5 linked regions of the Ovis aries genome follow. The protein of the gene in region 2 binds, or shares a complex with, the protein of the main gene of each other region. Links are inferred from orthologs where the notes say so. Each region holds a gene or a part of one and is shown on either strand. Other genes may lie near its edges.

Region 1 (5,896 bases), on a different chromosome or scaffold from region 2:
AGAGAGGGTCGTAGTAGCCACCTGGAGTCCTCTAGCTCATGATGTTTCTCTAATGACAATATCATTTAGAGGTGGTATCTCAAACTAGAATATGGCTGCCTTCTAGTACAAAAATGACAACCTCTGAATACCCAGACTGGAAAAATTCTCATTGAAACTTAAAAAAAAAAAACTACAAATCTTTTTTATGTATACAATCCTGAGCCAGAAGATGTCTGTAGAACTTAGTTATGGAAATCTCTAAGCAACATGACATTTTGGTGTTCATTATCTCATTTGATCTTTACAGCAAAACTGTGCGAAAAAGCAAACTGGTGTTGCTCATCTTACTCAAACTGGTGTCTCTACCTCCTAGATGAGGAAATTGAGGGTAGGAAAAAACAAGCAATTTGTCCAAGGTTACACAGGTAGTAGTGGAGTCAAGATTAAAATAAAGCTTTTTCTGACAGCAAATTCAATTCTTTTACTAGTGCTGTGCTATACACTCACCCCACTCCCTGTATACCACTTAACTAAGGGCTCCCCATACTGGTGAATGCCTCAGGAAGGAGAAAGTACTGTAGAGGAAGTCACAGAGTAAACAAGTGAAGTTAATAAAAATGATTGCAAACTCTTCTACCAGTATAGATACAATGAAAGTATTAACACATTAGAATCAAGGAGCTTGACAGGAAGTAAAAAGTAAATGTTTCTCTATATCAGGCTATCACATGTATCTTTTTTTTTTTTTTTTTTGGCAGCACTGTGGGACTTGTGGGATCTTAGTTCCTCAACCAGGGATTGAATCCAAGGTTACAGTAATGAAAGCTGGGAATCCTAAACACTAGGTCACTAGGAAACTAATTACGCTCTGTAAGTGTTTCTTACAACTTTTGCCTAAAATATCCCAGCTTACTATAACTCATGATTAACACAATTCTATTAACATATCTTCTTCTTAGGTAGACTTAAAAGTTGAAAGCCATCATGTTATGAGAAATAAAACTGAAGACACACCATAATGACTAGCTAGAAAAAGTCTACATAGGTAACTTAGCTTATCAAATAATTTTCTAAGCACAACACTTTATCCAGTTCACCATAGTCCTCACCATGACTTGACGCACAAGCTTAATGGTTTCACTCCAAGGTCTATTTTGGTTAAATTTTGCATGGAGCCGTTCCAAGAGAGAACTCATCTTACTCAGCTTTTCCGACTCTAAGATATAAATCAGAAAAAATTATTAGCAACTCTTCTTTCAAGACCTTCCACAGTTTTTCTTGCAAACAAAACTCCCATACTTCATCCTGGTACGAACTCAAGTTAAAATCTTATCCAATATCATTTACTTCAAAATACACAAAGAATTCATTTCTAATAACAAGTAGACAGAAATTATGGGCCTAATCTAACAACACTATAGAAGGGGACTGCTTTCTCTTCAGACTTAATGAGAAGCAAAAAAAGAACCACCTCCAGTCCTGAGGATCAAGACTACTATTTAATGACAAAATAATTTCATGATAGGCATGAAATCCTTTGCATGACATATGCAGAGCATACATTTGAACATGGCCTTACTATAGTTAGTTGGTTTTCAATGTGAAAATAAAGACTTTCTTAATTTTTTCACATAATTTTAAGAGATCAATTTGTAAGTATTATCAAGAAAACAAGCTTCATTTGCCATTCAGCTATTTCCTGTTCGAATTCAAACTATATGAACAAAGGAAATGTCAAGTGACTAAAGGATGAGTTTCAGGCAAAGGTAAGAGAAAGGTAGAAAAGAATGGATCCCAGATAGTGTTTGAAGGAACCTCCTATAACCTCCAACACTCCTGTAATTCTTTTAACTGCTTAACATGAGCAAGGACTGTGCTGGAGACCAGCAGTGCAAAAATACAATATGCCTGAGATGACATCTGTGAGGGGGTGTGGATAAGTTAATGTGAAAATAACCATCATACAAAGCAAAATGAGATATGCTCTTAAAAATAGAAACACATTACTATCAAAATTCAAAGGAGGAAAAGTGTGTAATTAGTTTAGGGATGTTACAGAAAAGATGTCTTGAAAGATGAATAGAATGTCAGCAATCAAAGATGAAGTAGTGACATCTTCAGATCGAGATTCAACTCCTCCCTCCAAGGCCTTCATCTTCTGGAAAACTGTTCTTGGGGCTGTTTCATTCAGTTTATAATTCTGGAGAAATGTTTGGCAATTCCCATATTTCAGACATTCACTCAGGCACTATTTTACATCTCAGAGATACAGCAGTGAGCAAACTAGACAAAATTCCTGCCTCACTAAGATTCCACTTACACTAGTCATTCGTCTGCACCCTTTTTTCTTTCTCCTTCAAACACACCTCCCTTCTCTCCCTTAAGGCGGCCGACGATAAATCTTTACAAAAATGCTTCAGTGAAACGTTTTTTTGAGCAACTATTATGTGCCCGGAGAAGGAAACGGCAACTCACTTCAGTGTTCTTGCCTGGAGAATTCCATAGGTGAAGGAGCCTGGTGGGCTGCAGTCCGTGGGGTCACAGAGTCGGAAACGACTGAGTGACTAACACAACAACACAACATTATGGGCCCAGGACTATACAATGATGAGTAAGGCAAGATCCTGCTCTACAAAGCTCAGAGCACATTGGAGAAGACAAAAAAATAATCCTGTATCAACAGAACTATGTCCAAAATGCTAACGGAGCATCTAAGCTGAAATGTGGAACTTTAGAGAATATAAAGTTACACAGAAAAGTGTTTTTCAACAGTTTTTAGTTCAGATATTTAAAGACTGAAATTAAAAGCATTTTAAAAATATACAATACTACAAGATATGAACGCTGTGACATTTTTTAAAACTACTGGCTTTTAATACCATAAGGACCTAATCATTTCATTCACGACAAAACATCTTACAGTACTTTGATATATAGCGTCCTATTATTGTTTTATGTCATCATTCAGATTTCTCTTTTGAAGAAGAAAGTTTTACGTTCACTTGCCCGGTCTCCCATCTCTTTAGGCTAAAAAATGCCCTGAGGCCCAAATGTTGCCCCTTGCCAAATAGGAAACCTTCACACTCAAGTTGGGAGCCCCCATCTCCCCAAAGTCGAAGCTCTCCATCACCAAGGAAGGCAGTCAGAATCTAAAACTCAGACATATCCCGCCTCCTAGATCCTGAGCCCTCGGGAGAGTGGCCCCCGCGGAGGCATTGGCTCCCCCAGCTGTGTCCCGCCCCCTGATCTCCCCCTCAGTCACTCACCCTCGGTCTCCCCCTGAGCCTTCATCCTGACGGCGGGGAGGGCCTAAGTCCTACACAAGAGGATATGCCCTTCCCCACCAGTAATGGAGGAACCAAGTTGGTTCGGGCTCCCGGGACGCAGGGAACCTGCAGTCCCACTCTTCCAGGGAAGACTCAGTCTGAAGTCCCCGGCGGCAAGAAGAGAAGGGTGCTCGCGGCCGCCGCCATCTTCCCCAACGGAACTTCCAAAAGATCGCGAGATTAACCGTGATCCTGCGAGAGAGAGAAGGGGGAAAGGGGCTGGGCACCAAATATCGCGAAAAATGATTTATACGTTGCTTCTCGCGAGATTATCCCCACCCTGCCTGCTCTCTGGTTTGTCTCCGACTTCTCAGAGCTAGGCGTGGAGCTTGTGTAGTGCTAGTGTTCAACACCTCTGTGGAAGTTGGCACTTTCGATTTGGCTTTCAAGCAGTTTGCAAAGTAAAAGCCCCAGCTGTCTTTACTGAAATGCTAGCTTTTCGAAGAATATTGCTGTTAGGAATATTTTATTAAAACTTTCCCTTTATTGAGATACTAGACGTTGGGTCTTTGTAACACGACGTCCCAAAGTAGCCCAGTACACTTAATTTCCATTACCGAATTTCCTTTTTAATTTCAGAAATATTTTTCTTGAGCATTTTCAATATTTCTGAGGACGTGGAAGATTTTGAGTTAAGAAAAACTTGTTTGCAACAGTCATGAGTTCAGGTGAGTCGCTCAGTCGTGTCCGACTCTTAAAGACCCCATGAACTGCCTGTCCATCACCAACTCCCAGAACTTGCTCAAACTCATGTCCATCCAGTCGGTGATGCTATCCAACCATCTCATCCTCTATCCTCCCCTTCTCCTCCTGCCCTCAACCCTTCCTAGCATCAGGGTCTTTTTCAATGAGTGGAGTCTTCGCGTCAGTCAGGTGGCCAAAATATTGGAGCTTCAGCTTCAGCATCAGCCCTTCCAATGAATATTCAGTAGTCATCGATTATATTTAGGATCCCAAAGGTGTTCACAATGGATTGTATTTTTTTTGTAGTCAGTAAAAGCAAGCAGGTTAGCTCACACTCTACACTACAAATCACAAAGAATGTGTGGTCCTGTCTCTTGTATCAGTAAATTTTCACGAAGAGAAATCTGGATTAATGCTGAGAATTTAGAAGTTCCTGCCCATTGGAACAAGAACCAGACTAAAATACAATTCTACTAGCTCTGGGTGGAAGTTCTTAAAATAGTTAAGGTTACTCTTTTTTTTTTTTCTTTATTATTATTATAATTTTTTTTTGAAATACATCCTTGAGAATAACTGCTGAAATTTTACCTAATTTGCTGTAAGGATATTTAGCAATGGATTTCCAGTGGCTCTTTAGTCTCAGACTTTTCCCCCATATTTCAAAAATGATATGCAAACATCCTCCAAAACAATTCCTGCTGGTAACTACAGTTCAGATGAACAGACAGATAAGAACAAATCTTTATTTGTGACATGTTTATTTCGACAAAGATATGTATAACCATGCTCCTTGAAAGTAGAATTAAAATTTACTTCTTGTCTATTCCTCTTACCCTCATTCCTTTCAGTCACTACACAGAGAGTTTTTTGAGGCAGTAATTGCTTCTTATTTCGAAATCCACACTACCTAGCATTGTACCTGGGCTTAGTAGGCAAATCTTTTACTGGTCCTAACATTCCTCTCTCAATCTAGCTCTTCTCCCCTTGCCAAATCCCAACCACACTGACCTTCCACCTGCAGACAATTCCTTCACTCCTTTCTCTCCCAAGGTCCTTGAACAGGCCTTTTTAGCTGCAGGAAGGCTTTCCCCTTCTCCATTACCCCTCATCTCACTGAGGCCCTCTTATATAGTTCTCAAAGTAAATGTCTCTTGATCTGGACTAGAGATGCAAACTTTCTCTAAACCCTGACTTAATAAGGTCCTCTGTTATACTATTTCAGTACTTAATTAAGTACATGATGATGTATTCAATGTCTGTCTTCCCTGCTAAACTATCAAATCTAGGAGGGCGGCTGCACTGGGTCTATTTCTTTCACTACTGTCTAGTCTAGTGATATTGCCTAGCCTAGTTCCTGACAGATGTCAGAGACTCAATGCATATGTAGAGGCAAATTGACAGGGTTGTCAGATTTTTTAAAAACAACACTCAGTTAAATTTTAATTTTAAATAATTACATTTTTTAGTACAAAAGTATGTTCCAAATATTATAGAATATAAATCTAGCAATATTAACATTGAAGAAGTACAGAGAGAATTTATCCAACTAAGAATTTCCAAAGATAGTTCATGTTTAAAATGCTGTGGGAATTCCCTGGTGGGCCAGTAGTTAAAGAGTCCATGCTTTCACTGCCAAGGGCCCAGGTTTAATCCCTGGTTTAGGAACTAAGATTCCACAAACAGCCCAGTGCAGCCAAAATATAAAAACAAAAACTAAACTAAAATGCTGTTTCAACAAGCATCTGTGGAGTCCTAATACCTGTGTATTAGAAGCTGGTAATATACACTTGACGACACAGCCCTAGCCCTTGATGGGTTCACCTGATTCAGAGTTCTGAAAATATGACTGGTCACTGAAACTGTAGGCACTCAAAAATATTTTGTTAATTTACTCATGTCCAAAG
Region 2 (5,411 bases):
TTTTCCTTTTCTATTAGCTGATTCTACTCTTATGGTGTAGCTAAAAGAAAAAAAAAAAAACGTCTTGAGATAAGTCATCAAAATACAGTAACGGGTGATAAAACTTTTCCCCAAATAAAATTAAGTGGGGAAAGAGTTACATATTTCTGTTCATCTGTTCAGTAATTGCACACCTCTCCTGCAGGTGTTCATCTGAAAATAAATGACATGAAAAGGCTTTCAAGGGTTGGGACAGTGTCTTCAGAATGTCCTGTGGTTCTTACTACCCTAGGAACCTACTACATTGTACTCAAAACCAGACTCTGCCTGTGAAAACTGTGGTCCAGAGATGGGATCCAGGTCACAGTTGAAGGTGATGGCAGGGCTGGGGACAGAGTTCAGGCACAGTTATAGTTTGTTTCAACATAATTCCCATGTGCTTTCTCAACTTGTTACCAGGGAAGAATTCTACTTCTTGGAAAACGGACTCAACCACCATTATCACCCAGTCTGGGTTTCCTGAACAGGTCATCAATGCGCCTGCTGATGTTTGAGACTCCCCTGTAGCAGCCCAGGCTGCTCAGAGCCTCTGAGAAGATAAAACTCATATATACAACATGAGGACGGGGCTCCCAGCTCCCTGGGAATAATAATCAAGACAGCTCTACAAGGAAAGAAAGGTGGTGTGATATCCGAAATATATTTTTATGCCCCACAGAGAACTTCTGAGAGGTACTTGAGTAGTTCTGCATGACACAATCGTGAGATCGACCACCTTTTCCAAACCTAGGTCAGGCCCTTCCCAGAGAAAAACAGGGCTGCTTGAAGGCCTACAAATGTGGACAGGGATTTTGATGCCAAGAAAAGAAAAGATATGGATCCTGAAAGAGCATGGTGGCATGAAGGACGCCTCAGTTCATTTGTTCAAGTTAAGATGACCTGTTGCAGAGTCAGACACGGCTTAGCAACTAAACCACCACCAAGATGACCTGTACCTTTCTATACTAGTCTCAAAATTTTAATTAGGACAGCTTGAAGAAGTTTTTCCCTATTTAAAATAATGTTTATTTACCGTATCTGAAAACGCTCTCTCTCCTCTATTTTAGACTCAGCCTAAAGTAGGTACCAGCCAACCACAGAATGGTACTCTGTGTGTGTGTGTGCGTGTGTGTGTGCGCGCGCGCGCGCAACATATATGCATGGGTGCTTAGTTGCTCAGTTGTGTCCGACTCTTGACAATCCTATAGATTGTAGCCTGCCAGGCTACTCTGTTCATGGGATTTCCCAGGCAAGAATACTGGAGTGGGTTGCCATCCCCTTCTCCAGGGGATCTTCCCAACCCAGGGATTGAACTGGGTTCTCCTGCATGGCAGGCGGTTTCTTTACCACATCTGTGCATAACATGGTAAGTCATTTACTCAAAGGGAAAACAACAAAACCCAGCCACCCCAAATGAAGACAGTAGAAGAGAACTAACTGATTTGTCTGTCGTCTTTCCCGTCAAGATCGCCCTCGCCTTTGCTTTGGTCAGCGGGAAGGACTTTATGTACGAGTCATACAAATGCTTTGCCAGGGCCCGGAGGTCAGCAGACTCTGGGTTCAGTTGGTCGATGTCGCTGGAGATCTCCGCTAACAGCTTTTCCTTCTCGGCCTGTGGCATGCGCCCGAACCTGATGGCTACAGAAGAAAAGGGTGGGATGAATTAGTGCATTCCTGTATATACATATATATTCCTGTGTGTATATATATATACACACACACACATCACAACTTCCTTATCCTTTCACCCATCAGTGGATACTTAGGCAGTTCCCATGGCTTAGCTATTATAAATCATGCTGCAATGAACATGGGAGGGGTGGCAAGTGAATTAGGTTGAGTCTTATTAAAAATATTTTTGTCCTTTAACATCTAAGGGGTGAATTCGCAGTCATATCAGGCTTTTGACAATGAGTAAGGCTTTGTCTCAAGGTCAGTTTTTCCACTTTTAACATGTTTCTTTTGCAACAGCTGTAGCCTGTAAACAAGACTTGTATGAAAAATAACACTATTGCTTTTCATATGACTGTTGCCAATAAGTTATGTTTTTTCCACCTCTCTTTCTTGAGGGAAAAAAATATGCGCATTTGGAGGCTTTGCAGGACTTGGCAATCATTTTATTTTCTAGCTCCTCTACAGTAAAACAAGGGGCAGTCTTATCACCACGATTAAGTAATTTTTAAGTTGCGGGTAACTTTTTTCAAACTTTTTGGAGAGGACATTTAAACATTTGTCCAGGTTTCTCTCCAAAGTCAAGATGAGCAAGATACTACGGCCTCATCTTCTGACTCTGAAGTCTTACGTGACATCGTTTTAATTCATTCACTGAACACCTGTTTGATGGAAGATACCGGCTCAAAAAACTGGACTAGGGGACACAAGGACGAAAAGGATGGGTATGGTAGATCCAAAATGTAAAAGAGGGCCTACATATGCAGGGATCATTCTCTCCCTCTCCTGTACTGCTTTCTACCAGCTCCTTCCGTTCCATCTAAGCAGGGTTTAGGGTTCTGACCCCAGAACCATCCGCCTCATGCTCTTTCCTCCACCACTGGACTTACTGAAAGAGCTGTTGCCCCTCACTGTCTTACTCATTACCTCCCAACCCACTGCAATCGCTTCTTGGCCTTTTGGCTAGGATCAAGTGTAGTAAGGGGGCTTCCCTGGTGTCTCAGTGGTGAACAACCCGCCTGCCAATGGAGGAGAAGCAAGAGATGCAGGTTCAATCCCTGGGTTGGGAAGATCCCCTGGAGGAGGAAATGGCAACCCACTCCAGTATTCTTGCCTGGAGAATCCCATGGATGGAGGAGTCTGGCAGGCCACAGTTCACTGAGTCGCAAAGAGTAGGACATGACTGAGAGACTGAGCGCACAGCACCATTGCAATCTAGCTTTTCCTCATTTAAATTTGCCAAAACTTTGCTCTTACAAAGGCCCCTACAGTTCCTCTAACGGTCACATCTAGGGGCCTGTTCTAAGTGCTCGTTCTGCTTGAGCTCCCTGGCTTCCTCCCAGCCCTTCACACTGCTGACCTTCTGCACCCTCTAATTTCAAAAGTTTCTCACACTGGTCTCTGCCTTTCTGGCTCCCCATATCTTGCTGTCTGCTAGTTTCCAGACCTCCGACAGCCCCTCTTCCTTCATTTACATTCTGTTATTCCTAGCTCAAGTTTTCTCTCTAATGCATAAAATGTGCTAAAGACTCCTGCCCTCTCTTCCCTGAGATTTGTACCCTTATTTTTCACTTCTTCCTGTGTCCCTTTGCCCGTGGATGCTGGATATTCTGTAGGCACCTCAAGTTAGTGGCTCAGTCATGTTTCTTTGCGACCCCATGGACTGTAACTCACCAGGCTCCTCTGTCTACAGGGTTTCCCAGGCAAGAATACTGGAGCGGGGTGCCGTTCCCTTCTCCAGGGGATCTTCCCAACACAAGGATCAAATCTGGGTCTCCTGCAGGCAGATTCTTAACCATCTGAGCCCATGATTTAACGGAACAGAAAATCAAACTTTTCATTTCCCCTTCAAATTGTCTCCTCCTCCAGTTTTCCTTTCTTGATTAACTCAGTCACCCAAACTAAGCACCTCGAGTAATCTCTGACAACCTCTCTCCCCTCGGACACGTGCAGTCATTGGTCACGGCTGTGATGTTTCTCTCGATGCTGGCACCTCGCGTGATGCCCACTGTCTGAGTTCACAGGATTGCACTCGTCTCCTGATGGATTTTCCTGACTTTTCCCTCTCTAACTTCTCATTTTTTTTTTTTTTTAACTGCTTTCAATAGTTTGGTTTTTGACAACACAGGTCTCTTTGCTCCCTTGCTTTCTGAGAACGTGGTGCTTACAGGAGAGGTTAAGAAGCTCACAGAAGAGAAAGAATGGGGAATTAGAAACTGGATGGAAGAGAAGGTGTTTGACTTGGGGCTTCAACACCAGGTAGGATTTTGACAGGGAAGGAGGGCACAGGAAGCAGAGCCCCAGAGTGTTCTATCACCAGGTAATTTGCAGCAACAGCCAAGAATACAGCTTGTCTGAAATGTAAGCGGAAAAAGCAGCAGTGGGAGAGGGCGGTGGAGGCTGGACTGTGGGCAGTAATGAACCCCTTGAAGGTGTGAGCACCACAGCCTCCGCCTTAGGACTTTTCACTCTGTTAAACCTTCTGAAAGTTATTTGAATTTGGGGAGATTTCCCCCATACCACAAAGAAGACTAAAGAAACAAAAAGTAACATGTTGCAGTTTAAAGGCATTTGCCATTCGGGTTTTTCTTTTTTGCAACATACACTGGTGCTTCTGTTTGCAGGAAAGAAGAGAACTACCTTAAAATGGGGAGAGCCACAGAAACTTGTGAAACCATTTGTTCTAGAATTTAACAAGCTGCTAAGAAGTTATTTTGAAAGTTGTCAGCTTTTTTTTTTTTTAATAAAAGAAAAAAGGCATCATTTATATACTACAACATCCTAATCAGCAAAGCGAGTGAAGGTGTAAGTGTTGGTTGCTCAGTTGTGTCTGACTCTTTGCGAACCCCATGGACTATAGCTCGCCAGGCAGAGCGGGTAGCCATTCTCTTCTCCAGGGGATCTTCCCGACCCAGGGACTGACCCAGGTCTCCCACACTGCAGGCAGATTCTTTACCGTCTAAGCCACAAGATGCCTAATTCTGTAAAGCTAAGGTTTCACTAACTTTTCATATTTGTGAAAAATAAAACTTCTGTCTCAAGTGGATGGAATAGGGAAAACCTAGCTATTTTCTATGCAGCCCATTTCCATAAAAAAAAAAAAAAAAAAACCCTGAAAAGGGATTTTCTTAGTCATGTTTGCAATCCTGTAAATGCTAAAGTACGACCTTTGATACCATGATATTTAATTTCTTTCCTTTTTCACCTTTGTAAGAATTAACCGAACACTCTCTACAAGGCTGCTCCTCTCTCTAAATAGAGTAAGCTAATGGTCACAAGAAGGCAAAAGCCGACCTAATTATCATGCTTATGATAGCTTTGACTTTTCTGGAAAGGGAAAATTATATCATCAATACTATAAAAGTTGCGCTTTAAATTATTTGCCTGTAAACAATAAACAATAGGAGATGTATTTTACATGAATGTGTGCAAGCAACAGAAAATATATTGTACCTCAATACGAAAAGTGACAATTTTTAAAGGACAAGAAGTAAATATGCTTCTGCTAAGTTGCTTTAGTTGTGTCTGACTCTGTGTGACCCCATAGACAGCAGCCCACCAGGCTCCCCCGTCCCTGGCAAGATTCTCCAGGCAAGAACACTGGAGTGGGTTGCCATTTCCTTCTCCAATGCATGAAAGTGAAAAAAGTGAAGTCGCTCAGTTGTGTCTGACTCTTAGCGACCCCATGGACTGCAGCCCACCAGGCTCCTCTGTCCATGGGA
Region 3 (5,411 bases), on a different chromosome or scaffold from region 2:
GGACCTCAAGTCTTAGCTGGGACATCTCCCTGGTCAGTGTCCTCAGGCGAGGAGACCAGCAGGCTGATGGAAGCCCCCCTCCTCCCCACGTCCAGACCTGCAGTCACAGGTCACCCGGGGGCCATGCGGCTGGAACGCGAACGCTGACCCACCCTGCTGTTGGCAGACTCGTACATGTCCCCTTCTACTTTCTTAGCGTAGGCCACCAGGTTCTCCATGCGGCGATCCTTCAGGGCTGCAGGGTCAGGTGTCGGGAAGATGGCTTGGACACTGAAAGGACAGCGCGTACTCTCAACCTACTTTTAGTACAATGTCAACATCCTGCCATTTCAGACGTGACCCGGGAAGAGAAGAAACCGCGGTCTACCTCTGGGCACAGTACATTGCTGAGAGACCCCCAATCTCTTGCCTAGTTCATGCGCAGTCACTCTCTGGAGACAATGCTGATCTGCCAATTTATCCACAAATCAAACACAACAATATTTTGCTATTAACAATAAGTGCTTGACCAACTCAAGAATAATATGATTTTGAATTCCTAATCTTTAAACTACTAAGTACAAAAAATTTTGATTAAAATAATGAAGGAGAAAAAAAAGAAAACTCCATCGGAATCGAGTTGATTAATGTCACCCTTCATTTAACTTAAATTGCTGGAGAAATCAACTATTAATTTCCCATGTTAATTGTATGATGGTATTGTGAAGCCATCCGTATTTACTAGGCCCAAATTCCTGCAATTCTCAGGGCTCCCCACAACTATAGCCTTGAGCCATAAAATAAGACAAGCTTCTGAGTGAGTTCCAGCTCCCCATGCACTGAGAGTTTAGAAAATAGGCCTGCCCCTGTGACATGGGTCAAAGTTCATATTCCTTTCCAGGATCCACTGGGCACTCAGAATCTGGGATCCTCCAGCCTCCCTAAACAAGCACGTGATCCCCTTCAGTTGCAAGGGTATGATCACCTGGGACACAAAAGAACACCTGGGAGTTAAATCAGATACCCAGGAAACTGCAAAACTATCACACTGCCATCAGTCACAAAGTGCTTCCATCACATGTGAGTAACAGGCGAGAGGGCCACGTACAGTTTATGCACTAGATGGCTCCGCAGGTCCTGAGTGACGTGTTCATGCCAGCTTTTCCGAACGCCAGTGCTGGAAGGAGGTGCTGCTGCAGGTATAGTGCTAAGGGTGCCAATGTTCCCAGAGTTTGAGCCATCATTCATCAGGGGGCTGAGGGGAGAGGAAGAACAGGTCATCCAACTGGAAAAGTGACTCACATGACATTCATCCAACTAAGGGTCTTCAACCATATGTGACTTTAAACTCTGTTATCTGTTAGAAAGAAAGAAAGAGGGAGGGAGGGAGGGAGGGGAGAGGGAGAGAGAAGGGAGGGAGGGAAACAGCCCTACACTTTAGAAAGAACCAAGAGTTCTATGTGGTTCCCAGCCCACTTTAACATGTGACTGTCACTCAGACAGGAGCCAAATGAAACAAGGGTCTTACTTTGTAGCCCCAAGGGAAGTTGGAAGAGCTGATTCTGAAATCAAGTTTGGTGGCTGCTGATCTGTTGTTATTCCTCCTGCTGGAATGTTCATTGGGTTATTTCCTGAAAGACAAAAAGAAAAGGAATCAACGAGCTCCTAAATTATACACCTCAAAGTCCTAATAACAGATAAGTCACATATAAAGAAATGATTCTTATGAAAATTATTCTTATGACTCATAATAATAAATGCTATGGCAGGAACTCTGGGAGTTATATTTTCAATAATGGTGGTCAAATTGTATAAATTCAATTGCTTCCCATCGCACTTGAAAACCAAAGAAGAGCATTTCTACGGAGGCTGGCTGGCAGCATGAATGCTTGGCGGCTATGGAAAAAAATCAGAAATGATCCATCTGCAGCTTCGGTTTTGATTCTGGCTTCATTCCCATCACATACACTTCTTCATCTTTTTGTTTTGCATATCAGAAGATAAAAATCATAGAAATTAACTTCACGTGAAGAAGACAAAAGGTCAATTTGTCTACAGTATTCGTTCTAAAGTAAGAGAAAGGTGGGATGCAGGTTAATAGTCTTGTTCCAGATTATACCACCAACAGAAGTGGTGTCAGACTGGAAGGGACATTTCAAGACTCCAACCCAGTCTTCTAGCCAGCAGGAGTCAGAGATGCATTAGGGCAACTATTTCCCAACACGCAACAGATGAAGTATCTTTAAAGTGAAAATACTTTATTAGGAAAAGAACCAAACCACCACAACAACCCTGTTCTGAGATCCCTGTTAGCTTGGCCGGATTCAGACTGGTCGGCTCTAGTCACACGTAGTCCACAACCAAGAAATGCTAGGAGCTGCAGAGTCAAGGCAAGTGGTACTGCCCTAATTCCAACCTGTGAGATTTTGCATTCTGAGCCATGTGAAATGCCCTTTATGAAAACTATCCAGACACAAGTGACAAAAATGTTGGTTCATTTGCAAATGTGATTCATCTTACAAGCCTGTAACATCTTCAGTGTACCTGACTCTTTAGCCTTTTCCTGGAATTTTTTTATTTTAATCATTTAAAAGACACCATTCACCATAATATATATATTTGAATTTTATTACATATATATATATTTAAATTTAAAATTTGAATTTAAAGTAAAACAGTAGCTGAAAACAGCCCTGGGCTCCAGAAGGCTCGTCATTCCCGACACTGCATTTGCACAAGGAAGTTCTCGAGAGTCCTTTCACCTACCCAGGGGGTTGAGACTCCTCATCTGCTGGTGAGTTTGAGGCTGTGCTGGTTGCTGGCCAGGAACCTGAGGCTGCAGCTGCGTCTGGGGCTGGTTCAGGTAGGGGAGTCCAAGAGCAGCATACGCTCGTTGCATGGAGCTGGGGTCTATCGGATTTGGGTTACTTAAAGAAGTGGCATTCTGTTGGCCGGTGCCAACAGAACCAATGGTGTTTTGAATTCCACTAGCTGGAGACCCCAGGATGGCTATAAGAACAAACAGACAAACACAAGAGATAAGTAAAAGGGAAAAGTCTACAAGTGAGTTAAAAACGACTGAAAAACAAGTAAAATTTTATCAGAAGACCACCTATGTATATCATGAAGCACTGGAACCCCGCTACCAAGAAAGGAACTGTGCAGACAGAAGGAGCCCATTCTATTAATTTCATCTGCACAGCGGCACCCGAAGAACAAAAATCTGAAGAGAATTCAAGCTTCTATGTTAGAAAACAACGGACCAGAAAATCAGCGATCACACAGTCAAGGTCAGCGTGTATTAAATGTAGAGGCTCATAAGAAGTCTGTTCTGGGGAAACAGCAAACATGGGAAAACATGGGGGTCATCAGCCTCCACTGAGGCGAGCTAAGAAGCCCCTCCTGCTGCTGCTCCTCGGGGTCCCTCACTGCTCAGTGCACAGGCACAGAGGAGGAAGAGGAGGAGGAGCGGAGGAGACGCCTAGTTGGTCAGTTCTGTTACTTATTAACCTAATTAATATCTTAATTACTAAAGGTATCAAGTAACAGTAACTTAATTACGATCTCTGACACAATCTTCCAAAAAACAAAACTGCATTTCCTTGAACCCATGGTGTACAGTGACCAGGCAACACCACGCCTTTCTCTGCTCCGAGTTTCCTACGTGGGAGGGCACGATGCTAAGCTCTCTGCTATGTGAAGCTGTTCAAGAAATACCGTGGCTGACTGAGGAAAATCTGTAGCAACATAAAGAGCTCCATTCCCAAGGGCTTCAAAGTTAACAGAGAAGACCCAAATACCCATCTGTCCGTCTGTCTGTCCATCGTCCAAATGTCCTAATCGATTCAACATATGGCAGAAGTTCTGCATCATACCACTGATTCTTATTTTTAACAGTTCCTTTCTTTCCAACTTCCCCAAACTTCAGAGCCATGTCATAAACAGCAGGTTATAAAACTGATACTATAACATAAGATCTTTGAGACATAAAACACTATCACAAAATTTTTCTTTAAAATTCAGACCATTACTGTAATAATAATATCTTCACATCACCATCAGCACAATTATAATATAAACAACTCAAACACTTATCCGAGTAACTTAACGAAACCAAAATGTGTTTAAAAAAAAGCCCTTGATAATTACATATTCCATACTATTTAACTTTTCTAAGAAGAATATTCAGATCTCAAACTCATTAATGCTCATTAGACACAATTATATACACCAAGCACCTCATTATTATAAATGAAAAGCAATTTCCAAGGTACATTTTATGATAAGTATGTAGCTCTTAAATAAGTCATGTATAATACTTTTAAAGGTATTTTTTCTAATAGTTAATACTCCACGAAACTTTAAGCACATGCCATTGTACTACTGAAACTGACATGCTGACTCATCTAAAGGAAGTGCAGTGGAGAAAGGCAAGTGACAGTGCTAAGATGACTTGTTTTTCTATTACTCTGTGGGGTAAGGAGGAACAGACCTAGGCCTATATTGACTTGCATATTGATCAACTGCGGAGAGAGAGGAATTTAAAGAAACAAGGTGTACAAGGCTTTGGGTTTTGGGTGAAGATGCAATAGCAGTGCCTCAACAATGATTTCTTTCTACTAAAATCCACTCATGTCCACACTTCCCCAAATGCCATCCTTTTACCCCAAATTCCCCATCCTAGGAGGAGGGCCACTCCCAAGCTCAAGGCCACTTATGGACTACTTACGGACTTCCTCCTCTCATGGAAGCTGCTGACTTGGTCAATGTAATTTTTGTGTGTGTTAAAAGCATTTATGTCTTAAAGTACACATTACTGTGGTTTTTTTTTTTACTTTAAAAGAAAACATATCTATCTGAAGACAAGCATTTGGTACTTGACATTTTTAACTAATTTAGAGACAAGGAAAACAAAATACAAACAAATAAAAAGGTCTCTGAAAAACAGACATGGCCCAATCTGAGTCCAAATGCAGCTATGAGATAACATCTATGCTTCAGGGACAAGGAACGCAGGCATTTCCTACGGGGCAGATGGCTGGAAGGGGAGTTACCTGGTGAAAGCCACCACAAACTCTAAGTCCTACAAGCTCAAGATGCTTCTGCTTTCCATAAACACCCTGCAGGCGTCCGGGCAGCAGCTGGCCTTCCCTGAACCCCCAAGCTCGCCCCGTGGCCTCCGGGCCTCTGCTCCTCTCTGGACACCTGCGACTCCTGCACCTGCTCCCTCCCTCACTTCCAAGCACAGACTCCACAACAGACAGACAACAGGACAGAAGCGAGCAGTCTGCGCTCATGGAGCTCAGGGTCTGCTGGGAGAGCAACATCCCTATCCAATAATGAAAGGCTGCAGCCCTGGGTCCTATATCAGAGACAGCAGTCTCTGATCAAGACGATCAAGACCGTCTCCTCTTCCCTGCACGTTCCCTGCA
Region 4 (6,112 bases), on a different chromosome or scaffold from region 2:
CAAATGGAAACACACGATTCTAAGGTTCTTTTATGTTATGAGAAGGAGCACAACAGCACTTGAAGGTGGCACATAATAAAGGTAAAGTGGGGGCTTCCCTGGTGGCCCAGTGGTGAAGAATCTGCCGCGCGATGCAGGGGACGCAGGTTCGATCCCTGGTTGGGGAGCGTGTACTAAGCCCACGGGCCACGAGAAGCCCTAAAGCAGGAGTCAGCAAACATTTTCTGTAAAGGGCCAGATAAATAATTCAGGCTTAGTGGATGCTATGGTCTGTCTATTACTATTCAGCTCTGCTATTAGCATACAAAAGCAGCCATTGGTGATATGTATTGATAAATGAATGGGCGGCGCGGCGGGATTCTAACAGAACTTACTTTACGGAATCTAAAATTTGGATTTCATGTAATTTTCACTTGCCATGAAATGTTCTTCTTTTGATTTTGTTCCAACCAGTTAAAAATGTAAAAAACCATGCTTTGCTCACAGCCATACAAAAGCTGGTGCCTGGCTGGATTTTGCCTGGAAACCAGTTTGCCAACCTATCTTTCCCAGCAACCAGTAAAATAAAAAATAATGAGTAAAAGGTAACAAGCCGACAAAACAAATACAATGGAACAAAATGTGCTCATTCCAAAAGGCAGGAAAAAAAGGTAAACAAAGGAGAGATAAGTAGAAAACTAATAACAAGATGACAGACATAACCATATCAATAATTAATTAAATACAAATAGTCTAAACACTCCAATTAAAAGGTAGACACTGGACTTCCCTGGTGGGCTAGTGGTTAAGAATCCGCCTGCCAACGCAATGGCAGGCAGGGGGCATGGGTTTGATCCCTGGTCTGGGAAGATTCCACATGCCGTGGGGCAACTAACGCCACGTGCCACAACTGCCTGTGTGCTCTAGAGCCCGTGCTCCCCAACAAGTGAGACCACCACTATGCGAAGCCTGCACAGCACAGCTAGAGAGCATACCCCGCTCGCCACAACTAGACAAAGCCTGTGTGCAGCAACCAAGACCCAGTGCAGCCAAAAAGAAACAGCTAAATAAACACAAATTTTAAAAAAGGAGAAGCTGTCAGAGTGGATAAAAAAGCAAAACCTAGGGTCTTCCCTGATGGTTTAGTGGTTAAGACGTTGCACTTCCAATGCAGAGGGCCAGGGTTCAATCCCTGGTCAGGGAACAAGATCCCACATGCTGCAACTAGAGCCGATGCAGCCAAATAAATTAAAAATAAACATTTTTTTTTAAAAAGCAAAACCTAACTATACAAGTAACAGCTTTTCAAATAAATTTAAAACTAAGTTAAGAATAAAAAGATGGAAAAAGATATACCATACTAACGCCTGTCAGTCAAAAGTAAGTAGGAGTGTTTTAAAATAAGAGTAAGATTTCAGAGCAAGGAATATTACCTGGGATAGTGCAGATTATTTCACAATGATAAAGAGGTCAGTTCAGGAAGAGGACACAATAAACCTAAACATTTGCACTCCTTATAACAGAGCATCCAGTCTCATGAAGGAAAACCTGATAAAACAACAAGGAAACCCACAATTATTATTAAAGATTTCAATACCTTACTCTCAGTAACTGATAGATCAAGTAGAGAGAAATTACCAGCAAGGATATAATAGACTTGGAAAAGAGAAGAACCAAAGAAACCAGCACAGGACTTACAGGTCTAGTGCTAAAGAATCCACCTGCCAAGGTAGGGAACACAGGCTCAGTCTTTAATCCGGGAAGATCCCACATGCCTCGGGGAAACTAAACCAACGCGAAGCAACTACTGCGCCTGTGCCCTAGAGACACTGCTCCGCAACAAGAGAAACCACCAAAATGAGAGGCCCTCACACCGCAACTAGAGAAAGTCCGTGGGCAGCAAGAAAGACGAAGCACAGCCAAAAGTAAATCAATAAAAGTTTTAGAAAAGAAACCCATACAACCTCTAACTGACATCTGGAGAACTACACTCAACAACAAGATACCAGACATTCTTTTCAACTGCACACACAATAGAATTTAACTACAAACCAATAAAAGGAAGGTATTCGGAATATCTGGAAACTAAATAACATACTCCTAAATAATCCACCGCCCAAAGAAGAAATCAAAGGAGAAATTAGAAACTATACTGAATTAAGTGGAAATGAAAGCACAGCACATTAGAAGTGATGAGATACAGCTCACGCACTACTTCGGGAAATTCACATGAATCCTATATTAGAAAAATAGGAAGGCCTCAAATCAATGACCTCAGCTTTCACCTTAAGAAACTAGAAAAAGAACAAAAATAAACTCAAAGTAAGCAGAAGAAAGTAAATAACGAAAGTCAAAACAGAGATAAACACAACAGAAAGCAAAAAAAGAGACGAGAGAAAATAAATGAAAGCACAGCTGGTTCTCTGGGAAGACCGGTGTTTCTTGAGCGCCTCCTATGGGTCAAACACCGTTCTGTCACTGGGGCTACGGCAGTAAACACAACACACAAAAACCCCGGGTACATTCCCTCAATTAGGTCTTTATGACGTCGTTCCTTCTACCTGGAATACTCTCCCCAGATAATCTACTTGTCTCATTCTTTCCTGCTTTATTTTTCACCAAGGAAATTCCTGTCTTCTGACACACCATTTTTCTTTCGTTCGTTTTTCTGCCTGTTTCTTCTCTCTCTCCTCTCTCTTTCTTACTTTGTGTCTATACGGCTCTCTGTTTCTTTCTTTCCTTCTCTCTTTCTTTTTTGTTTCTCCTACTGTTCCTTTCTTCCTTCCTGTCAGTCTGTCTGCCCTTCCATTTATAGACCCCCCACACTAGAACGTAAGCTCCACAAGGCATAAGTTGTTGTGCTTTCTTCACTGCTTTATCACCAGCATCTACAACTGGGCCTGAAACGCTGTAGGTGCTAGATAAATACTTGTTTAACAGATGAATCCTTGCTGTCATAGAGTTTACATTTTCTCTTTCAATGTAGGATTTGAAGATCAGTGCTCAGAAAGTGGGAGATCTTAGAGTCAAAAGCCAAATGTTAATTTTGGAAATCAAAATTTAAAGCTCCTAAATTAGGAGCTAAGGATCAAAGATCATATTTGGAGGTGAGATGTCAGAAGGAGCCTGTGAGCTATAGTTTTAAGATAGGTCTCAGGACTGGGGTCAGGAAGCTCAAATTGAGTTTTGAATGTGGAATTAGTCAATGGATATGAAACTCTGAGGGCCAAAGTTTCAGAAAGGACGGGGTTATGATAAAAACTAGCTTGGAAATTGATTTTATCAAGGGTTAGACTCGGGGGTTAGAGGTCAGAGTAAGCATTAGAAGACAGATTTAGGATTAAGAGGTTGGAAAATCAGTATCAGGGACTAACAGGGAATCAGATGTGGGATCATCCTAAGGCTCGGTGTGGCAGGCTAAGGTTCACTCACGTGTCGCCATCCTCAGTGACGTAGCCGAAAACGAGGGGCGCCCACGACAGCCCCGGGCCCAGCTCCGCGCCTAGCCCAGGTCCTCCAGGGGCCGCCGCGTCCGGACCCAGAGAGCCCAGGCCGCTGTCGCACCATTCATCGGCGTCCGCAGCTTTCCCCAAACACGCGACCCCGGCCATAGCCCCCAAAGCCTCAGGGGACCCCAGCGGCTGCCCGCCAGTCGCTGGGCTCTGCCTGGAATTCTGGCGCTTCCGCCCTGCTGGGAATTCCCCAACACTCCCCCCGGACTCATCCAATCAGAGTCGGCTAAATAGTAAGCGCCCCGCCCTCATACTACACCGTGACCAATCAGAGTATTCAGATGGACTGCGACTCTCTACCCTTTCCCACTCATTCCGCGCGCCCTTTACCAACATGGCTGCGGACGCGAGGCACTCTGGGATTCGTAGTCCGGCTCTCGCGTGTCTCTTCTTACCTCAGAGGGGCACGCTCCGGACGTTTTTCTATGCCTCCTGGGAGTTGTAGTTCTTTGACCTATCTCTGCCCCCCTCCTGTTTCCGGTGCCGTCACGGGATAGAGCAGTCGGTGACAGTCCCGAGGGCCCCCGCCCCGCGCCCATGGCCGATCCGGATCGTGAGTCGGGGGCCCTGGTGGGAGGGTCGGGCCGCGCCGGGGCCTGGCTGAGGGCTGCAGGCCCCGGGGCCCGAGGGCGGGAGTGGTGGGGCAGGAGATGGGGGCTGCATGGAGGGGAATGAGGTTCAGGGAGCCGTTGTGATATATATTGCTGGATAGATTGGTGGGTTTCTGGGTCTCGAGGTTTTAAGGGTCCGTTTGCCACTTCCCCTAAGTGACTAATGATAGCGTGTGTCTCGCACCTTAGTTGCTAAGGACCCTTGTTACTAGGGACTTAGAATACCGCTGTCCGGGTTGCTAAGGGTACCTGGTTGTTAGTGGGAACTGTAGGGTGCTGGGGACCCCTGGTGTCCCCTCCTATCTCTTCCTTCCTCTTGTAAACCTGCCATCTCGCCCTTCCGTTCCGCCCCCACCACCTCTTCTTGCAAACTTGCCTCCAGCCCCAGTATCCCTTATCTTCTCTTTCTTTCTACATTTTCTTCTGCTTGTAAACCTAACCCTCCCAGCACACACTCACACACTACTGTGTCCTTCCTAACTCCTCCTAAGTCTTCCTTCATGCCCTTATATGCTTTACTTTCTTTTCGCTTTCCTAAGCCTCCATGTCCCAGCCTCTTTGTCCTTCACCAACCACCTCTCCTCCCAGCACTCTCCACTCTAATAAGATCTGCTTTTCTTCCTTTCCCTCCCTCCATCTACTCCCTTTTGATACCCCCACCCCATATAACTAGGTTGGAGGTCTTGTTGCCCCTCTCTACCCCGACTTAGAAGCCCTTCATTCCCCCTTAACCAATCCCTTCACTGTAACCACGTCTGCTCCCCCTCCTCCCCCAGCCTCTGACCCTGAGGAGACCCAGGCAGGGAAGGTGCAGGAGGCTCAGGTGAGATGGGGACAAGGGTGGAGGGAAGGAGAGAGATGGACTTCCCACACCCCACACTGGGGGGAGGTGGCAGAGGGGAGTCAGATACCCCAGGGCCCTCAGCTCACTGCCCCAGCTCCTCACCCCGGCTCACCTTGTGGTTTAGCTCCTGGGGGAATGGAGGGTTCTGGGGCCTGTCAGAGAAGGGTGTGCGGCCTCAAGCCTAGGCCTGCCCTTGCAAACTTTCCTTTCTCCCTGCTCACCCCTCCTACCCACCTTCCCTCCTGAACCTCGTTCCCAGTGGGCGTGGAAGAGATTTGGCTCCTGAATTCACAGATCTCACAGACGTGTGACTCGACACTGACTCTACTGGTGATCATGAAAGTAGCGCAGGGCACTCTGGGAGCGCAGAGTAAACCGTGTGAGATCACACAGATTCCAGCCAATCCCTTCCCGGCAAGAGTCCACAGGCTGATCTCAGAGTCAGACTGAGATACAGCACACGGTAGTCAGTGGAGAGTAACTTAGGATTTTCTTAGGTAAGGTGAGAAGTGGTGTCCCAGGCAGAGGGTATCCTGGGGGGCATGAAAGAGTGTCATGCGTTCAGGATTCAGGTGGCTGATTACCTTGATGGTTAGCACTTACTGAGTATTTAAGCCAACTGAGTACTCTGCTTATTTGATGGGCATCCTAGCATCCTGGGGGCAGCGGTGGAGGGGAGGAGTACAGGTCTACTGTGGTTATTTTATAGCCAAGGAATTGGAAACTGAGTTCTTTAACAACTTGTCCTCTGTCCATTGGCTAGAAGAGCAGGGACAGGTTTGCAACCCTCGGTGCCTTGACATATTGCCTCCCAGACACTTCACTGGAAGCAGGGGTCACAGAGGCTCCACCATCACCTTCAGCTTCCCCCTGAGACCAAGTTGCTCCCACGTGCTGGGCAGGGCCCTCGCCTCCTTCCACAGAGCTTCTCTGTCTGCAGCCTGAAAGCGTGCCAGCCCACCCACAGACACGAGGTCGCAGTTCACATGTAGGGCAGAGCAGAAGCTGTGACGAGAGCGCCCCACAGATGCACGGCCGAGCCACACCAAGGGGACAAGAGCTCCCTGTCAGGCCAGGCTTCTCCCTCGGCTAGCTCCCAAAGCCTGGCCACTGTCAGAGAAAAAGGTTTCATGTGGAAAAGGGACCTTCAGTCCCAAAGAGAGAGA
Region 5 (6,189 bases), on a different chromosome or scaffold from region 2:
TCTTAAGGTCTCCCATCCTCCCATTTAACAGATTATTTCACTATGTAAAAACTACCAGCAGGACAGATTGCCACTTGATTTCATAGTGATGCTACTTTTCACATCTCTGAACTGCAACTTTACTATAGCCTACCTTCTCTCTTACCTTTAAAGTTCCCAGAATTTCTGGAGTTCTGATGCTCCCTTATATTTTTATTTGATCATTGCTTTTGTTTCACTTGGACCTCAAGGAAGTCCTAATGGTATTAAATTGTAAGAGGTCTTGAATCTCTGGTAACAATGCAGAGAGTCTTTAAGCAATTAGAACTACCTAAAGCACAGACACAAAATTTCTTAAAGTCTTTTGAATTAATATCTTTTGGTGAATAGCCCACTTAACCCGGTATGTCATCATTTTCTATTGTAAAGGTAGCATGCGTAATTTAAACTGGCACCTGCTATTTACCACGCAAATAATCATTCTCTTGGATGGCCTTTTGAAAGTTAGCATTTCTTAATAATTCTTTGGCTGTATCAGAACCACAAGAGGCATGTCCACTGAAGCAAACTTCAGGAGCAATAAACTAACAAACAGACTCTAGGTGGTGGTATAGGTTATTTTTTATCATGATGTTTTGCTCTTAAAAAAACTGCAAGAGTCAGAGGAGCCTTCAGCCTCTTTTACTCATGTCTTTTTACTGCAAACTTATACAGTTTTAGGGTGGACAATTAGTAAAAGTTTGGAGACCCACACAGGAAGTGGTCCAAGCATTAAACCTGGTTTTCAACTACCTCAAAGGCACTGTAGAGAGCGCACTGGAGTAAAACCAACAATGAGGAGTCCTTTTTGTTTGTTTTTTTGTAAGTATTTTACTCATGCTCCTAGGGCAGTTTCAAGGCGTAAGTGTGGAAAGAGGTCTTTCCCCACCAGAGTGTAGGAAACAGACTAAAGTAATAATCCTGCAGCCCGCAGGATAATGGCTGTTCCACTGCTGGAATCTTCTTTGTCTTTAGGAACTAATTTCAAGCAGAGAAAAGTTAGCACTAGTGATGAAGCCACTACTCTCTGAAACCAGTTAAACCCAAACCACATTACCAAAACGCTGGGCAAAACCAGAGCAACTTACTTCAAAGCTGAAAACATTTCAACATACTCCAGGCAGCAACCCACACTTTGGTGCCAGGCAGAGGAAGCACCATTTGTTTAAAAAGTCCACTTATCTCACTGTGTCTTCAACAACAAAGGTGGCAAACTAGTGATTAAGCATTGAAGAATCACATCGGGAAGATGCCACCCACTTGCTAAAGTCATGATTCTCTAATAAGCAGGTTCAATGCAATTCATAACTTTAAAGAATGAATTACCAGAGCCCTCTGCTTCACAAATCACTCCCTCACCAAACGTAAAAAACAACCATCATCTGTAACTCCACAACCATTTTTCACTTTCATCCTATGGACTCTGTTCCTCTAAGAACAGTACCCCCTCCCCAACCCCTCCCCCGCCCCGCACAATTTCACATTTAATCATTTATATTACCGGAGACAAACTCCAACTCAGTTCCACCAACTGAGTGAAAAGTCCCTGTGGCTAAGAACGTATTACTTCTTTTTCAACATAAAAACGCCTTATTGAAATTTTTTTTTTAAACACAAAAGTACTTCTGTTGTCCGTCTACTATCTTCAAAACTCAATTCAATAACGAGATAGAAGGTAAAAACTCCTATAATACTTCAGAGATCAACATGTGTCACAGACTCGCAGACTGTTCGCCTCTAAGACATAGTTGATTCCTTTGTTCCTCCAGACGGAACAGCAACTCTTGATTAAAATTTGGAAAACTACTTTGGAAGGGTTGTGACGGTTTGCAGAATATTTCCCGGGAAACCCTTCATAAGACAATATCCGCTAGTAGTAGAAGAGGACACATAGATGTAGGAGAGAAAAACGAAGCCTCCCAGGACCTGCACGGGGTTCACTCTAGAGGTGAGCCCGGTTTTCTGGCTCCGGAGAAAAGTGATGGTTGAGGCCTCGGGTCCCAGGGGCCTCGCCCTCGGGAGGGGAAGGACACGTACCAACGGGCCTGGCTGGACCCGAGGGTCGGCTAGGGGCCGGGAGCGCGGTCCCCTTGCCTACCCACTTTCCCCAGTCCGGGATCCGGCCAGCTCAGAGCAGGGAGGCACCCGGGCGAGAGGCGGGGGGAGCTGCGCCCGGCGCCGCCCAGGACGCCCGGGGCAGCAGGACTGAGAACGGCGCGACGAGAAGCGCCCGGGGCTCCGGGCCGAGGAGGACAGCCGAGCGGGGGCGCGACCCCGGCCCGGGTCCGGGGCAACACGGCGGCCGCCCTCCCGTCCCCGGCCCAGGACGGCCAAGAACGCGCCGGTGAGCCCCCGGGCCAACTCCACAACTTGCCGGCCCCGCTGCCCGGGCCCCCCGAGTTCCCGGGCAGGTTCGGAGCCGGCAGGAGAGGCGGGATTTGCCCGGAAGCCGTCCCCCTCCGCCGAGCTCACCCCGCCGTCCGCGTCCGCTCCCGCCGCCCCGCAGCGCGGGCCCCCCGCCGCCCCGACGCCCCCCGAGGCCCTGCCCGCCAACGCCAAGCCAACGCCGCCGCGGGCCGCGCTCCCGGCCATTTCCGGCGGCGGCGGCCGCTCGTCCGAGCCCCCCGGCCGCGGCCGCCACTCACCCGAGGCCGCCGCAGCTCCGAGCGCCGGGGCTCCGGCCAGCTCACTCCGCGAAGGCGCCCCGCCGCCCCGTCCTCCCTCGGCGCCCCGGCGAGCTCTTCCCTGCGATCGGCAGCGCTGCCGGGCGCAGCGGCCGCCGCGAGGCCACGGGCGGGCGCGCGGGCGAGCGCGGGGCCGGGTCGTCCCTCCGCCTCGGCCGCCGCCGCCGCGCCGCCTCCTCCTCCGCCGCCGCCGCCGCCTCCCGAGTTCGGGGCTCTGCTGCAATGTCTGCGAGGCTGACTTTGAGCGCCTCGCTCGCCGCCTGCCTGCCCGCCCGCCCGCCCGCAGCCGCGCTCCTCCCTCCGCCGCCGAGGCGGCCGCGGCCCAGTCCCTCCCCTCGCCGCTCCACGCCATTCAGCTCTTCAGCCAAGTTTCTTAACCCTTTTTTCCCCCTCTCTTCCATTGTCACCGGGGCGGCAGGCACGCGCTCGGGTCCCGGAGGCTCGCGGGAACTGCGGGGCCCCCTCGGTTGGCTGGTTTTCCTCCTCGCCCGCCCTCCGGCCGGCCGGGCGGGGGCTGCGGGCGCCCCGAGGCAGCTGGAAGAGCGCGGCGGCCGGGAGAGGTGGGTGCTCCAGGCGCCCCGAGCCCTTCCCCGCGGCTCCCAGCTCTGTCCAGCAGCCCCCACCGCCGCCGAAGGCGCCGGGACAGCTCCTCCTGGGGCTCCCGGGGGGGTGGGGACCACTCTCGTGACCCAGGCCAAAAGCCCGCGAAGGGGGCTCAGCCTGGGGGTCGGGACGCCCCGGGTCCCTTCCTGGGTGCCGGCATCTTAGGCTTCCTTCTCCTCCCACTTCACCCCACGACCCGTGTCTCCTGGGCTCCCTCTCGCCCACCCCCCCCAACTTCCACCACCTTGTAATCTGTGTGTCTTGCTTTAGTCTGGCCGGGGGTGGGGGGGGCTAACTGCGGGTCCCTCTGATCCCGCGCCCTGCACGTAGAAGGCACCCAGGGATAATCGGCGGGTGAGTCCGAGAAGAAAACTGGGAAGGAGACCTGAGGAGCGCCGGGTTCAGCTCCTCGGACGGGAGCAGGGTTTATCTTCTGCTGCTTTGTCACTGCGAAGTCTCCAGCGGAGCCGTTCCTCGAATCGACACCGTCCTCGGACCGAACCTGACCCTCCAAGACAAGGCAGAAGGCACCCAGCTGCCACTTCTCGGGCAGCTCTCCGCCGGTTCAGGCTCCGAGTAAGAAATAACAATTACATCACGAGGCCGGGGCGGCAGCCCCGGAGAGCCTCCTGGTTTCCTGCAGCCTGATCTCCCTGAACCCGCCTCTAAATTGGGGGGGATACGGATTGGTGAAGAGAGAAAGTGGAGGGAGGAGAGAGTCATCCGAAACCATCATTTCCCCCTTCTCCGTGTATTTGCTGTTTTAAAATCTTATCCTCAAGGCTCTCCCCAAACATCAAGCTAGAACTATTAACACCCCCGCAACACCTCCCCAGATGTCAGGTTTCTTTTTGACTCTAGCATCTAGCATTTAGTAACTCGCCATGAAAAAGAAAAAGAAAAAAAAAAAAATTGCCAGGGGAAATGAGGACCGTTGCAGAAATTGTTTTTGCTTGCTGCAAAAACGCTGAAGTACAGCTTAGGCTCACTGTAAACTCCGAAATGGCATGCCTGTGTTTAAACACTTATTACACAAAACAAGTGAGTGGATAAGACACTCCATTCCTATGTGTAGGTTTTCAGATCCTTAAGGATTCGACAGCATTTTAAAATAAAGTTGCTAGTGCACTTAAAAAAAAAACACAAAACTATCCAAGTCATAGAACAGTATTCTATGCCTGTTATGTAATGGTTGTGTTGTGCGTGTAAAATGTCATTTAACCTTTAAAAATATGAATGAGGATTCGGGAACACCTTCACAGTCTTAAAAGGGAAAGCGATATTTCAGAAGAATGCTTAATAATACAGCACCTAGCACAGTGCTGGGCACATGGCAGGAAGATTTTTCTTCATGGTGATAGTGCATTTTAGAACAATTATTTTACATCACCCTAGTGATTTCAACTGTGCGATCTGTTGCCATCTTATATATTTAAACCTCATATGAGAGCTTATTATTTGTATCTACCACCATTTGAAATCTGTTCAAGGCAGCTTAGTAAAGTCCACTGTTCTGCATGACAACATTTATCCAGGATTGATTCAGAGCCAACTGTTTGAATTAAGTGATAGGCAGCATTATTGGAGTGTGACCCTTTAAGGAATCAAACTAATTTTCTTTAAAACTGTTGTACAAAGATTTTCTGAAAACGTATTATAAATGTTTCTATTTTCTTAAGCCATTTTTTGGCTTTTTCTTGAAAATTCAGAGTTAATTTTGATAGTAGGTTATAATGAATTTAAGGACTACATCAATTTCCTGTTCTCTATCAAGCTCCTTCCTAGGAGTCAGGGATGCTCCCAGGATGAATAGAAGCCATCAGTCCTCTCCCTGAAGGACTCCAGGATACTATGATCCAGTGATCATCTCTGTCTTTCATAGTTGCTCTCTCTCCCCCTTCCCTAACTAACAATCTTTTCTCTCTTTTGCCAGGGTTCCTGTCTCTAACATTATCCTCCTCTTCTGATTGGCAACTGCTAGTCTGGTGCAGACTGAGATTCCAGATAGCCTCATTTGTCACCATTCAGTCTAAAGTAAAACAAAATAGTGCCATGTAAGGAACTGATGTGCTCACCAAGGAGAAAGGCAGGTGAACTTTAGTGCATCGACCTTGTGGCAGATATGTGGACTACTCAAATGATGCTTTAAAATCATTCTTTTTTCTTCTTAACTGGGTTTTAGATCATTGTGGTTGGTAGATAAACGACCTCCTAGTAAATAAGATTACACAGTTAATGCAACAAGCCAAATACAGGTCCTGCCCTTTTTAACACTCCTGTTAAAAAGTCTACTGCAAAATGTTAGATAACTTAACAGAGCTCCTCACTTAATTCTTCATCTATCTTCTCAAACCCACAGAAATCCAATCATTGAAAGCCTTAACTCTTTTTGATAGTACATTAATGTTAAGTAAATTGCACACCTTTGTGGAATTCATTTTTAATCATTCTAATTGTTTTAGGGCTATTTTGTTGTTGTACTTTGTTTTTTAAAAAAATCAATACCTAAATTTCCTGGCTAAGAGAGTCATTGTAAGGATACTGGGGCATATATGTAATAGAAGAATGCCTATTCTGGAATTTGTATTTTGAAGTCAACTCATTTTAACCAATTGTGATGTGAAAAAGATGCTCTTGAGCTTTTATACTTACACACACAACTATTTTTTAAATTCAGGGTTCCTGTGGGATCAGATACATATAGTTCAGGCTCAGAGCTTTTATCTGCCACAAAGAAGTTGTCTGGGAGAGGCATGCTTATGATGCGCTCCCTGAACCTGTCTGTGATAGCACTTTTCACTCCAGTTGGTGACTGGGTTACTTATCTGTATCCCATTCTAGATGCAGTCACTACAGGCATAGGGTCCATGTCTTTTTGGTTCAT

Evidence for each region.
Region 1: the proteins of PPARG (region 2) and MED1 are in contact, whole or in part, in a crystal structure (PDB 6ONJ), measured with the Homo sapiens proteins. The link is inferred for Ovis aries from reciprocal best matches to the Homo sapiens genes PPARG and MED1. Residues at the interface, in NP_056953.2 of Homo sapiens: Val321, Gln322, Thr325, Glu326, Lys329, Phe334, Leu339, Asn340, Asp341, Gln342, Val343, Thr344, Leu346, Lys347, Gly427, Leu429, His494, Pro495, Leu496, Glu499, Ile500, Lys502; in NP_004765.2 of Homo sapiens: Asn638, Thr639, Asn641, His642, Pro643, Met644, Leu645, Met646, Leu648, Leu649, Lys650, Asp651.
Region 3: the proteins of PPARG (region 2) and CREBBP are in contact, whole or in part, in a crystal structure (PDB 7RLE), measured with the Homo sapiens proteins. The link is inferred for Ovis aries from reciprocal best matches to the Homo sapiens genes PPARG and CREBBP. Residues at the interface, in NP_056953.2 of Homo sapiens: Val321, Gln322, Thr325, Glu326, Lys329, Phe334, Val335, Leu339, Asn340, Gln342, Val343, Thr344, Leu346, Lys347, Leu496, Glu499, Ile500, Lys502; in NP_004371.2 of Homo sapiens: Asp62, Ala63, Ala64, Lys66, His67, Lys68, Gln69, Leu70, Ser71, Leu73, Leu74, Arg75.
Region 4: the proteins of PPARG (region 2) and NFKBIB are in contact, whole or in part, in a crystal structure (PDB 9CK0), measured with the Homo sapiens proteins. The link is inferred for Ovis aries from reciprocal best matches to the Homo sapiens genes PPARG and NFKBIB. Residues at the interface, in NP_056953.2 of Homo sapiens: Gln322, Thr325, Lys329, Phe334, Leu339, Gln342, Val343, Leu346, Lys347, Leu496, Glu499, Ile500; in NP_002494.2 of Homo sapiens: Asn286, Pro287, Ile288, Leu289, Ala290, Leu292, Leu293, Arg294, Ala295.
Region 5: the proteins of PPARG (region 2) and NRIP1 are in contact, whole or in part, in a crystal structure (PDB 9CWN), measured with the Homo sapiens proteins. The link is inferred for Ovis aries from reciprocal best matches to the Homo sapiens genes PPARG and NRIP1. Residues at the interface, in NP_056953.2 of Homo sapiens: Val321, Gln322, Thr325, Lys329, Phe334, Leu339, Gln342, Val343, Leu346, Lys347, Pro495, Leu496, Glu499, Ile500, Lys502; in NP_001426204.1 of Homo sapiens: Ser130, Thr131, Leu132, Leu133, Ala134, Leu136, Leu137, Ser139.

Annotation. Positions count from the first base shown.
Region 1 is NC_056064.1:39,606,372-39,612,267, forward strand, and holds the start of MED1 (mediator of RNA polymerase II transcription subunit 1), read right to left. Parts: upstream 3,483-5,896; 5' UTR 3,274-3,482; coding exon 3,249-3,273; intron 1,199-3,248; coding exon 1,092-1,198; intron 1-1,091. UniProt on the Homo sapiens protein: Component of the Mediator complex, a coactivator involved in the regulated transcription of nearly all RNA polymerase II-dependent genes.
Region 2 is NC_056072.1:56,669,363-56,674,773, forward strand, and holds part of PPARG (peroxisome proliferator-activated receptor gamma), read right to left. Parts: intron 1,657-5,411; coding exon 1,457-1,656; intron 1-1,456. UniProt on the Homo sapiens protein: Nuclear receptor that binds peroxisome proliferators such as hypolipidemic drugs and fatty acids.
Region 3 is NC_056077.1:3,656,036-3,661,446, forward strand, and holds part of CREBBP (CREB-binding protein), read right to left. Parts: intron 2,989-5,411; coding exon 2,746-2,988; intron 1,611-2,745; coding exon 1,508-1,610; intron 1,235-1,507; coding exon 1,088-1,234; intron 271-1,087; coding exon 153-270; intron 1-152. UniProt on the Homo sapiens protein: Acetylates histones, giving a specific tag for transcriptional activation. Mediates acetylation of histone H3 at 'Lys-18' and 'Lys-27' (H3K18ac and H3K27ac, respectively).
Region 4 is NC_056067.1:47,980,982-47,987,093, reverse strand, and holds the start of NFKBIB (NF-kappa-B inhibitor beta), read right to left. Parts: upstream 3,656-6,112; 5' UTR 3,591-3,655; coding exon 3,412-3,590; intron 1,184-3,411; exon of another isoform or gene 1,111-1,183; intron 1-1,110. Other genes in the region: SIRT2 (NAD-dependent protein deacetylase sirtuin-2), read left to right, coding at 4,029-4,044, 4,879-4,925. UniProt on the Homo sapiens protein: Inhibits NF-kappa-B by complexing with and trapping it in the cytoplasm.
Region 5 is NC_056054.1:142,919,860-142,926,048, reverse strand, and holds the start of NRIP1 (nuclear receptor-interacting protein 1), read right to left. Parts: upstream 3,891-6,189; 5' UTR 3,550-3,890; exon of another isoform or gene 3,208-3,549; intron 2,931-3,207; exon of another isoform or gene 2,664-2,930; intron 1-2,663. UniProt on the Homo sapiens protein: Modulates transcriptional activation by steroid receptors such as NR3C1, NR3C2 and ESR1. Also modulates transcriptional repression by nuclear hormone receptors.